Oryctolagus cuniculus: one gene and its partner. The protein of the gene in region 1 purifies or fractionates together with the protein of each later gene. This does not show direct contact. Links are inferred from orthologs where the notes say so. Each region holds a gene or a part of one and is shown on either strand. Other genes may lie near its edges.

Region 1 (3,359 bases):
GTGCTGGCTTTAAAAACTCTCAAGTCGTATCCAGAGCTATGAGAAGCCCTGCCAAGTCGGTGTTTTCCCCCCATGCCGAGGGACAGCAGGAAAGATAGAAAAGTGGGGAAAAAAATAAATAAAATCTGAAATTTTGAATCAGAAATTGGAAATTATCAAAATGCTGGGATTCGGTACAAATTCATCTCCCAAGGTTCTGTGCCCTCTGGTGAGCCGCAAAACAAACAGAACCCAGGAAACACAGCGGTAACTGACAAAGTGGATGGAGGGCAGCGGGCGCCCTGGCCGACAGCCTCCCTAAATGAACACTAGTGACCGAGTGAGAGATGCCGCGGCGCGGGAACGTGGAGCGGTCCTGGCCCACGGGAAGGCTCGCTCCCTGGCACTCCTCGTCCCACACAGGCCTCCCTCCGGACCGGAGTCCGCCCAGCAGAGCCGAGCTGGAACAGGGAAATAGCTTGTTCTGCACTTTTCATGAACTCTAATAAAGAACCCGGGGGAAAAAGGCTAAGTGAGTGGTAGAGGACCAAACAAAAAAAAAAAAAAAAAAAAAAAAAAGCTGGGGGGGGGAATATAAATACAATCTGGGAGCAATATTTATTAATTAAAACTATGTCTTATAGTTTACAAAGATGCTAATTAACAACAAAAGTATAATTGACCTTAAAATCCTCAGTGCACTGAGGCTTCACGTCTCCTCCAGAATCCTGAAGTGTGCTGCAGGCAGTGGGGCCGGGCCGGGGCGCACGGGCATCGCCCGCGCTCAGGGACCACCGTCTTCACCACGCAAGGCTCCTGGTCTCCTTCGGAAGTTCCAACCCCCGGCCTCCACTGTTCTCTTCCTGCCCCCAACAATTCCAGCTCCCAGGAGGGCCCTCAGTTTTATCGTCGGGAGAATCTGTTCTTGAAAGCTTTTATCGTCTTGGCCATCATCGGGGCAATTTCTGTAGAAAGAAACCGGGCAGTCGCTTTAGATCTGTGGCGGCGCAGACACGCGCCGGCACCACCGGGGTCTGCGAGCAGCGCCAAGCCTTTCCCCTTTCCGCTGTGCACCGGCAGACAGACGGATGCCATCAGTGAATCTGCTGACACCGCAACAGAGGCGACAGCACAGAGCGGCACTCGCTGAGGACCTGTGGGCGGGGCCGCCGCTCTCACCCCGGCCCCCGCAGGGCCCACGGTCACTGTGTCAGGGCAGAGCTGGGGTTCCCTCCTTGCCAGACTCGGCAGTAATCTAACGTGGCCTCGCAGATGTCCAATCAGTGACCAGCACTCCCGCCGTCCCTCATGCTGTCCAAGTCCGAGATGAGCCGCACAAACTCCTGACTCGCAACAGGTGAACCTGATGCTTGGGCCCAGCCAAGAACACAAAATACTTAAGTCAGGACTCCCTTGGGGATCCTGGGGATCGTGCATGCACCCGTGGGCCGTGCAAAGCCCACAGCTCCTTTGGGCTGGCCTTGCCAAGGCAACCTCAGGCGGCACTCAAGATTCAATACATCTACAGCAGGCTGATTTGTGGGTTGATAATTCTGCATGGGACCAGCGAACAATGTTATACATATCCAAATGGCCCTTGGCAGAAAAACGGTTCTATCACAGACTACTGCTGGTCTATGGTAATGAAGCTAATAAAGTAAAAAATAGATCCAAAAAGAGAAAAAAAATATTTAGAAGGTTATAAGACTCAAGTAAGATGTTACACTTAGCTGTCGGTAGTAACGACCACTTCCCCAGAGAAACAGGCTCATGTTACCTCCAATACTACGATCTCACACCATCGCCGACATGGCGGGGTGGGGAGGAGGGGCCGCCGTGCAGCCCAGCGCCTGGGAGGCGTCCTTCAGAAGCAACACCCCCCCCCCCACACACACACACACAGGACGCAATGCAACAGTCGCTGCATGCAGGGGGCTCAGCAGGAACCCGAGTTACTCACTCTTCACAGTTGGCTTGCGAGGATCGTAGGAAACAGTGCTGACCACTGGCGCCAGGTGGGCACTGCTGGTGCTCGGGCCGTCGTAGGCCGGCTCCTCGGGGCTGGCGTTAAAGCTGTTGCTGCCGGAGGTGTGGCTGCTTCCGCCGGTGTACGGGGCGGGCTTAATCCTGTAACAAGAACACAGCTGGGCAGTCACGAGCAGAAGAGATCTGCCCTCAGCACGGACAGTGTGGTTCCTCCTGCGGCTCTGACCGGCGGATGCGGGCGCCCTGGATTCTGGTGGCGGCACAGGGATGGCTGCTGCATCAGCCTTTCAGAATGAATGAGAGCCTCAACTCTCACTGTTTCTTTTTTTAAATGAAGATAATATTTGAATGTCAGAGAGAGAGAGATTGATCTTCCACCCGCTGGTTCACTTCCCATACGGCTGCAATGGCTGGGGCTGGCCTCTCCCATGGGTGTAGGCACCCAAGCATCTGGGCCATCTTCCACTGCTTTCCCAGGTGTTTTAGCAGGGAGCCAGGTGGGAAGTAGAGCAACCAAGACTCGAACCAGCATCCACACGAGATGCAGGCACCACAGGCAGCTGCTTTACCCGCTGTGCCACAACGCTGGCTTCATCTCCTTTCATTTCTTAGGTTCCGGACTCTCTTCTGAAAATGCTCATGTAGGGGCCACACTGTGGCACAGCAGGCTAAGCTTCTGCCAGGCTGCTGCAGCCATCTAGGGAGTGAACCAGCGCATAGAAGACCTCTCTCTCTCTCTGTCTTTCCCCTTCTCTGTAACTACCTCTCCAATAAATAAAATTTTTAAAAAATTTTTTAAATAAAGAGAAAATGTCTATGTGGCTTAGATGCAATAATTTTGCTTAAACAGGGAAAAGGAAAGCCAGTGAGTGCTTCCGCTGTGCCGGGTCCTGTGTCCAGGTTAATCCTGACAGCCCTAAGGCACAGGAAAACAATCTGCCTTATGCTGCTGTCCAGGAGTCCAGGCTCGGGGGGCAGAGCGTTGAGCTGGCCGAGGGCCATCCCCACCATGGGCGAGTTGCTTCCCGCACCCACGGCTCCCTCGCAGTGGGGAAGACGACCTCCCAGCTCTCTTCCCCAAGCAAGAACAGAGCGCTTACTTGATTCTGTCAGCGACAACTGCTCCTCCCGTTCCGAACTTCTCCTGCCTCCTTCGGACGTCGCGAGGCGGCTTGGCCACAGAGTTGACGAAGGCCATCTTTGCTTGTCTGCCTGTGGAGGAACATGGAGCTGCCCACCTGCCCATGCGCCTCCTTGAGCAGAGACGCCATCTGCAGCGGTCCAGGTCCCCGGAGCTAGAGGTTGTTCATCAACCCAGAAAACCCCAAGGCATGGAAGCATGGGCTGTGGCAGAATGAAACCACCCCCGCTGGCCTCTACACTGCAGAGATCAG
Region 2 (4,272 bases), on another chromosome or scaffold:
CCAACATTTTTAGGAAACCAAAGCTGAGGGGCCGGCGCTGTGGGGCAGTAGGTTAATCCTCTGCCTGTGGCGCCGGCATCCCATATGGATGCCGGTTCTAGTCCTGGGTGCTCCTCTTCTAATCCAGCTCTCTGCTATGGCCTGGGAAAGCAGTGGAGGATGGTCCAAGTCCTTGGGCCCCTACACCCACATGGGAGACCCAGAAGAAGCTCCTGGCTCCTGGCTTCAGATCAGTGCAGCTCTGGCTGTTGTGGCCATGGAGAGTGAACCAGGGGAAGGAAGACCTCTCTCTCTGTCTCTTCCTCTCACTCTCTGTAACTCTACCTCTCAAATAAATAAATTCTAAAAAAAAAAAAAAAAGAAAAAGAAAAAGAAAGAAAGAAACCAAAACTGAAATAGGGTAATAGGAAAACTCAGTAGGAAAAGAAAATAGTGTTCTGTGAAATATTTGTTTCAATATCATGTGTTTTGGTGTGCTTTCCATCACTGACAAAATACCCAAGAAAACGAATTTCACAAAACAGTACAGGTGTAATAAAATGCTCACAGTTCCGCAGGTTCAAATCCAGCATCTGGCAGGCGTCACTGGTTCGCACTCCGGTGCTGGTGCTCTTCCGGGCACTGACGGAGCAGCGCAGAGCTTCACCGGCAAGAAGGCGCGTGTGACTCCGTGCACCGGCGTGTAACACAGCCACCAGGACTTATTCGCGGGGGCTTCACCTTCATGTCCAGTCCAATCCAACTACCTCTAAGGTCCCGCTTCTGAAAGCTGTGATTGCTTTGTTTCCACCCTTTTAGTATCGTTCACCTATGACATGAGGTTTCAAATCCTGTGTGAGTTCAAACCATAGCGTTATACGTAAACAGAGCTGCAAAGGAACAAGCTATGGCTCTTGCGAAGCTCTTCTAAAGCTGCAGTCATCAAGTGTGGTCCCACGAAGCCCGTTTCGGGGCATCTCAGAAAGTCGCCCCTTGCCAATTACTACCTCTCTAGCTAAACTCGGATTTTCTTCATCTGCTACCACCAAAACATTTCTAAGCAACTGACTTAGAAGCAGAAATAATTCAGCTGTGTATTTTATGCTGGATATTAAAGATTTCTTCAAAACTTTAAAACCATTCCACTCGTCTAAAACTTTAGAAAAGAAGTCATTTAAAACTTACCCCAAACCCACTATTTAACGTTTATTATCTTGAAACGAGTTTAGCACTTTTAAAATGTCTGCTTTAAATACTAATACGGTAAGTAGCCATGGGTATAAACCATCTAAAACAAAAGTTCTTTGGAATTCTCCACAATATTTAAGAGGGTGAGAAGAGGTCTGGGAAACAAAGGACTTTGGGCCTGATTCCGGATGGCCCGGGGGTCTTTCCCCAAAGCACCGCCCGCTCCGCGGGCACGCCCACCCCGTGAGAACAGACCCCGACGGAGGAACCGCGCCACCCAACCGTGTGGACGCGGAAACTAGGTCATAGAGGGAAAGGAGTCTTTTAAGCATATCTTTGCGACACTGTCGCGTTTCGTTAGTTCCGTGCCGTAAAGAACGGCGTGGGGCCGCCCCCAGCCGAGGCTGCAGCGGACGTGAGCGGCAATGGCGGATATGGAGGATCTGTTCGGGAGTGACGCCGACAGCGATGCGGAGCGTAAAGGTGGGGTGGGCCACGATCGGCAGGCGGGGTGCGCGGCGGGGCCCGGCCTGGCGTCCGGTTCCGGTCCGCGGGCGAGAGGTGGTGCTTCCTCTGCTCCTGCCCCAGCGCCCCCTGCACTCCCGGAGGTGCCACCCTCCCCTGGCGGGCGGGCTGGTCTAGGCAGACACACGCAAGAGTCTGTGCCTTGCGGTTCTGGGTGACCGTGGAGCATGCGGTGCCTGCCTGGGAGCACGGAGAGCAAAAGGGCGCGGGGCAAGGTGGGGGCGCGGGCCAGCCTGCGCAGCCCGGAACCTTGGGGTCCTGCTGTCCTGCGGTGCAGAACAAGGGCTGTTTGTGAATGAATGGGGTGAGGTGTTCAGGACCGTGGGGACGGGGTGGGTGATTTACAGAGGGGCTCGGAATGCTCTGTTAACGACGCCGGAGCCTGGCGCTGGCCGGCAGCTCGAGATGTCTGGATGCGGAGTCTGAGCAGCATACGGGGATGGAGCTACTCACCAGCGCTTTGCACTGGAGACATTGTGTCCCGTGAGCGCCAGTGCAGACACTCCAGGGTTCTGGAGTCTGCGGTATTAGGTTGGAGAGCTTATGGGGCTCGTGTGGGAGGAGGAGTGGTGCGGGATGTGTTGATGAAATGAATGCATGGATGTGTGTTTATGGTGCGTCAAGTGTTTCTGGCACAGAGACTATGGATGTTTGAGTTTGAGATATGAATAGGAGTTATTTGAAGTTGAAAAACGCCCGCAAAACCAAATTTTTGCAGCCCTACAGGCTCAAAGTAGCCGTCTTTAACAAAGGGTATTGTTGTGGTTTTTCCTTTACCAAATTTTCTCCTCCATTTTGTGCAACTACTGTTTTGTTGTAGAACCTTCCAAAACCCGGGTCTACTTGGAGTGGTGGAAGAAAGTAGGTATTCACTTGCAAAGCACAGAGCAAGGAGCTGGGCCTCCTTGAAGGGTGGGGGTAAAGGTGGTACAGATTGAAGCTGGAGTTGAGAGGTGAGGGTCAAGCTTGAGTGCAGGTCCCTGGTTGGTCTGCAGCGCTGGTGGCCTGGCGTTGATCAGTGATCCCATGCTCTGTGAGCCTCAGTCAGTCAGGGGGTGTAAACTTCTTGTTCTGGGCCTGGGGTTCCTGGCAAAACCCTCAAGACCCATCTTCCAGATGTTATCTGTAGGGTTAATACATGATCTCAGGGTCCTGTGATCAAGGACCTTTGTGGGGGCTGGCTGCACCCCTCCCTCAATGCAGTGAGCTAAATTTTGGTAAGAGGTTGATTGCTCAGCAGGGCAAGCTGAGAGACAGTGGGAGACCAGGAGCTCACTCACAGGGTCTAGCGTCTGCACCCAAGGCACTGACTGGATAGAGGTTTGGTTTCAGTATTTTCGTAGTTTGTAGTGAAGGGAGCATTAGGTGGAGGCCTGGAACTACATTGTAGTGTGAAGGCTGTGGCCGGGTGGGCATCCAGGAGGTTCCCGTCTGTGCATCTGGAAGGAGAGAGCACTGTATGCTCACTCCTCTTCCACTACCTTCGTTGTTGTTTCCCTGTTGTTTTTCCTTGTCTACGTCCCTTTTACCTTTCAAAGCACAGTTCTGTCTGAACCCTGCCCTGACTCCCTTTCATGAAGTTGTTCATTCATTCAATAAGTATTTATTGATCCCCTGTTACGTTCCAGCTACCCTGCTAGCTGTTGGGAATATGATGAAAAAGTAGTCTTCCCTTCCTCACCAGCTAATTTATGAGCTTAATGCACATTTGATGGATACAAGCAATATTTTAGTAAGGTTTAACCCTACAGCACAAAAAAATTGTGTATCTTAAATACACTAGGTCTTGAGAAAGGCCACGGGAGCAGGCATCTAGCCTAGCAGTTAAGACATGAACATCCCACATCAGAGGATCTGGGTTTGATTCCTGACTCCAGTCCTGACTGGCTTACTGCCAGTGCAGGTCCTGTGAGGCGGCAGTGAGGATGGCTCAAGTAATCGGGTTCCTGCCACCCATGTCGGTAACCTGGATCGAGTTCCTTGCTTCCAGCTCCTGTACCCCTCCCCTCCTCTCCCTGGGCTGTTGGGTATATTTGGAGAGGAACCAGCAAGTGGGAGTGTTCTCCCTCTGTCTCCTATATGGTTTGCAAATATTATTTTCCATCATTTGGGTTGTTTTTTCACTTTCTTTTTAAAAGATTTATTTATTTATTTATTCATTTATTTATTTGAAAGGCAGAGTGAGAGGAGAGAATCTTTCATCTGCTGGTTCACTCCCCAAATAGCCACAGTGGCCAGGGCTGGTCCAGGCCGAAGCTAGGAGCTTGGAACTCCATTTGGGTTTCCTACATTGGCAGGAGGGAACTGTGTTACCTGGACCATTTTCCATTGCTTTGCCAAGACACATTAGCAGGGAGGTGGATTGGAAGTGGAGACTCAAGCACCATTGCTTTTTTTTTTTTTTTTTTTTGACAGAGTGGACAGTGAGAGAGACAGAGAGAAAGGTCTTCCTTTGCCGTTGGTTCACCCTCCAATGGCTGCTGCGGCCGGTGCGCTGTGCTGATCAGAAGCCAGGAGCCAGGTGCTTCTCCTGATCTCCCATGTGGCACCATTGCTTTTTAATGATGTTTATTGTGTAAA

The links.
Region 2: the proteins of ELOA (region 1) and LEO1 purify together in Homo sapiens (affinity purification with mass spectrometry; 3 studies listed by BioGRID and IntAct, with this or other methods). This does not show direct contact. The link is inferred for Oryctolagus cuniculus from reciprocal best matches to the Homo sapiens genes ELOA and LEO1.

Annotation. Positions count from the first base shown.
Region 1 is NC_091438.1:147,226,772-147,230,130, forward strand, and holds the end of ELOA (elongin-A), read right to left. Parts: intron 3,178-3,359; coding exon 3,066-3,177; intron 2,107-3,065; coding exon 1,940-2,106; intron 945-1,939; coding exon 883-944; 3' UTR 571-882; downstream 1-570. UniProt on the Homo sapiens protein: SIII, also known as elongin, is a general transcription elongation factor that increases the RNA polymerase II transcription elongation past template-encoded arresting sites.
Region 2 is NC_091443.1:74,670,929-74,675,200, reverse strand, and holds the start of LEO1 (RNA polymerase-associated protein LEO1), read left to right. Parts: upstream 1-1,439; 5' UTR 1,440-1,592; coding exon 1,593-1,650; intron 1,651-4,272. UniProt on the Homo sapiens protein: Component of the PAF1 complex (PAF1C) which has multiple functions during transcription by RNA polymerase II and is implicated in regulation of development and maintenance of embryonic stem cell pluripotency.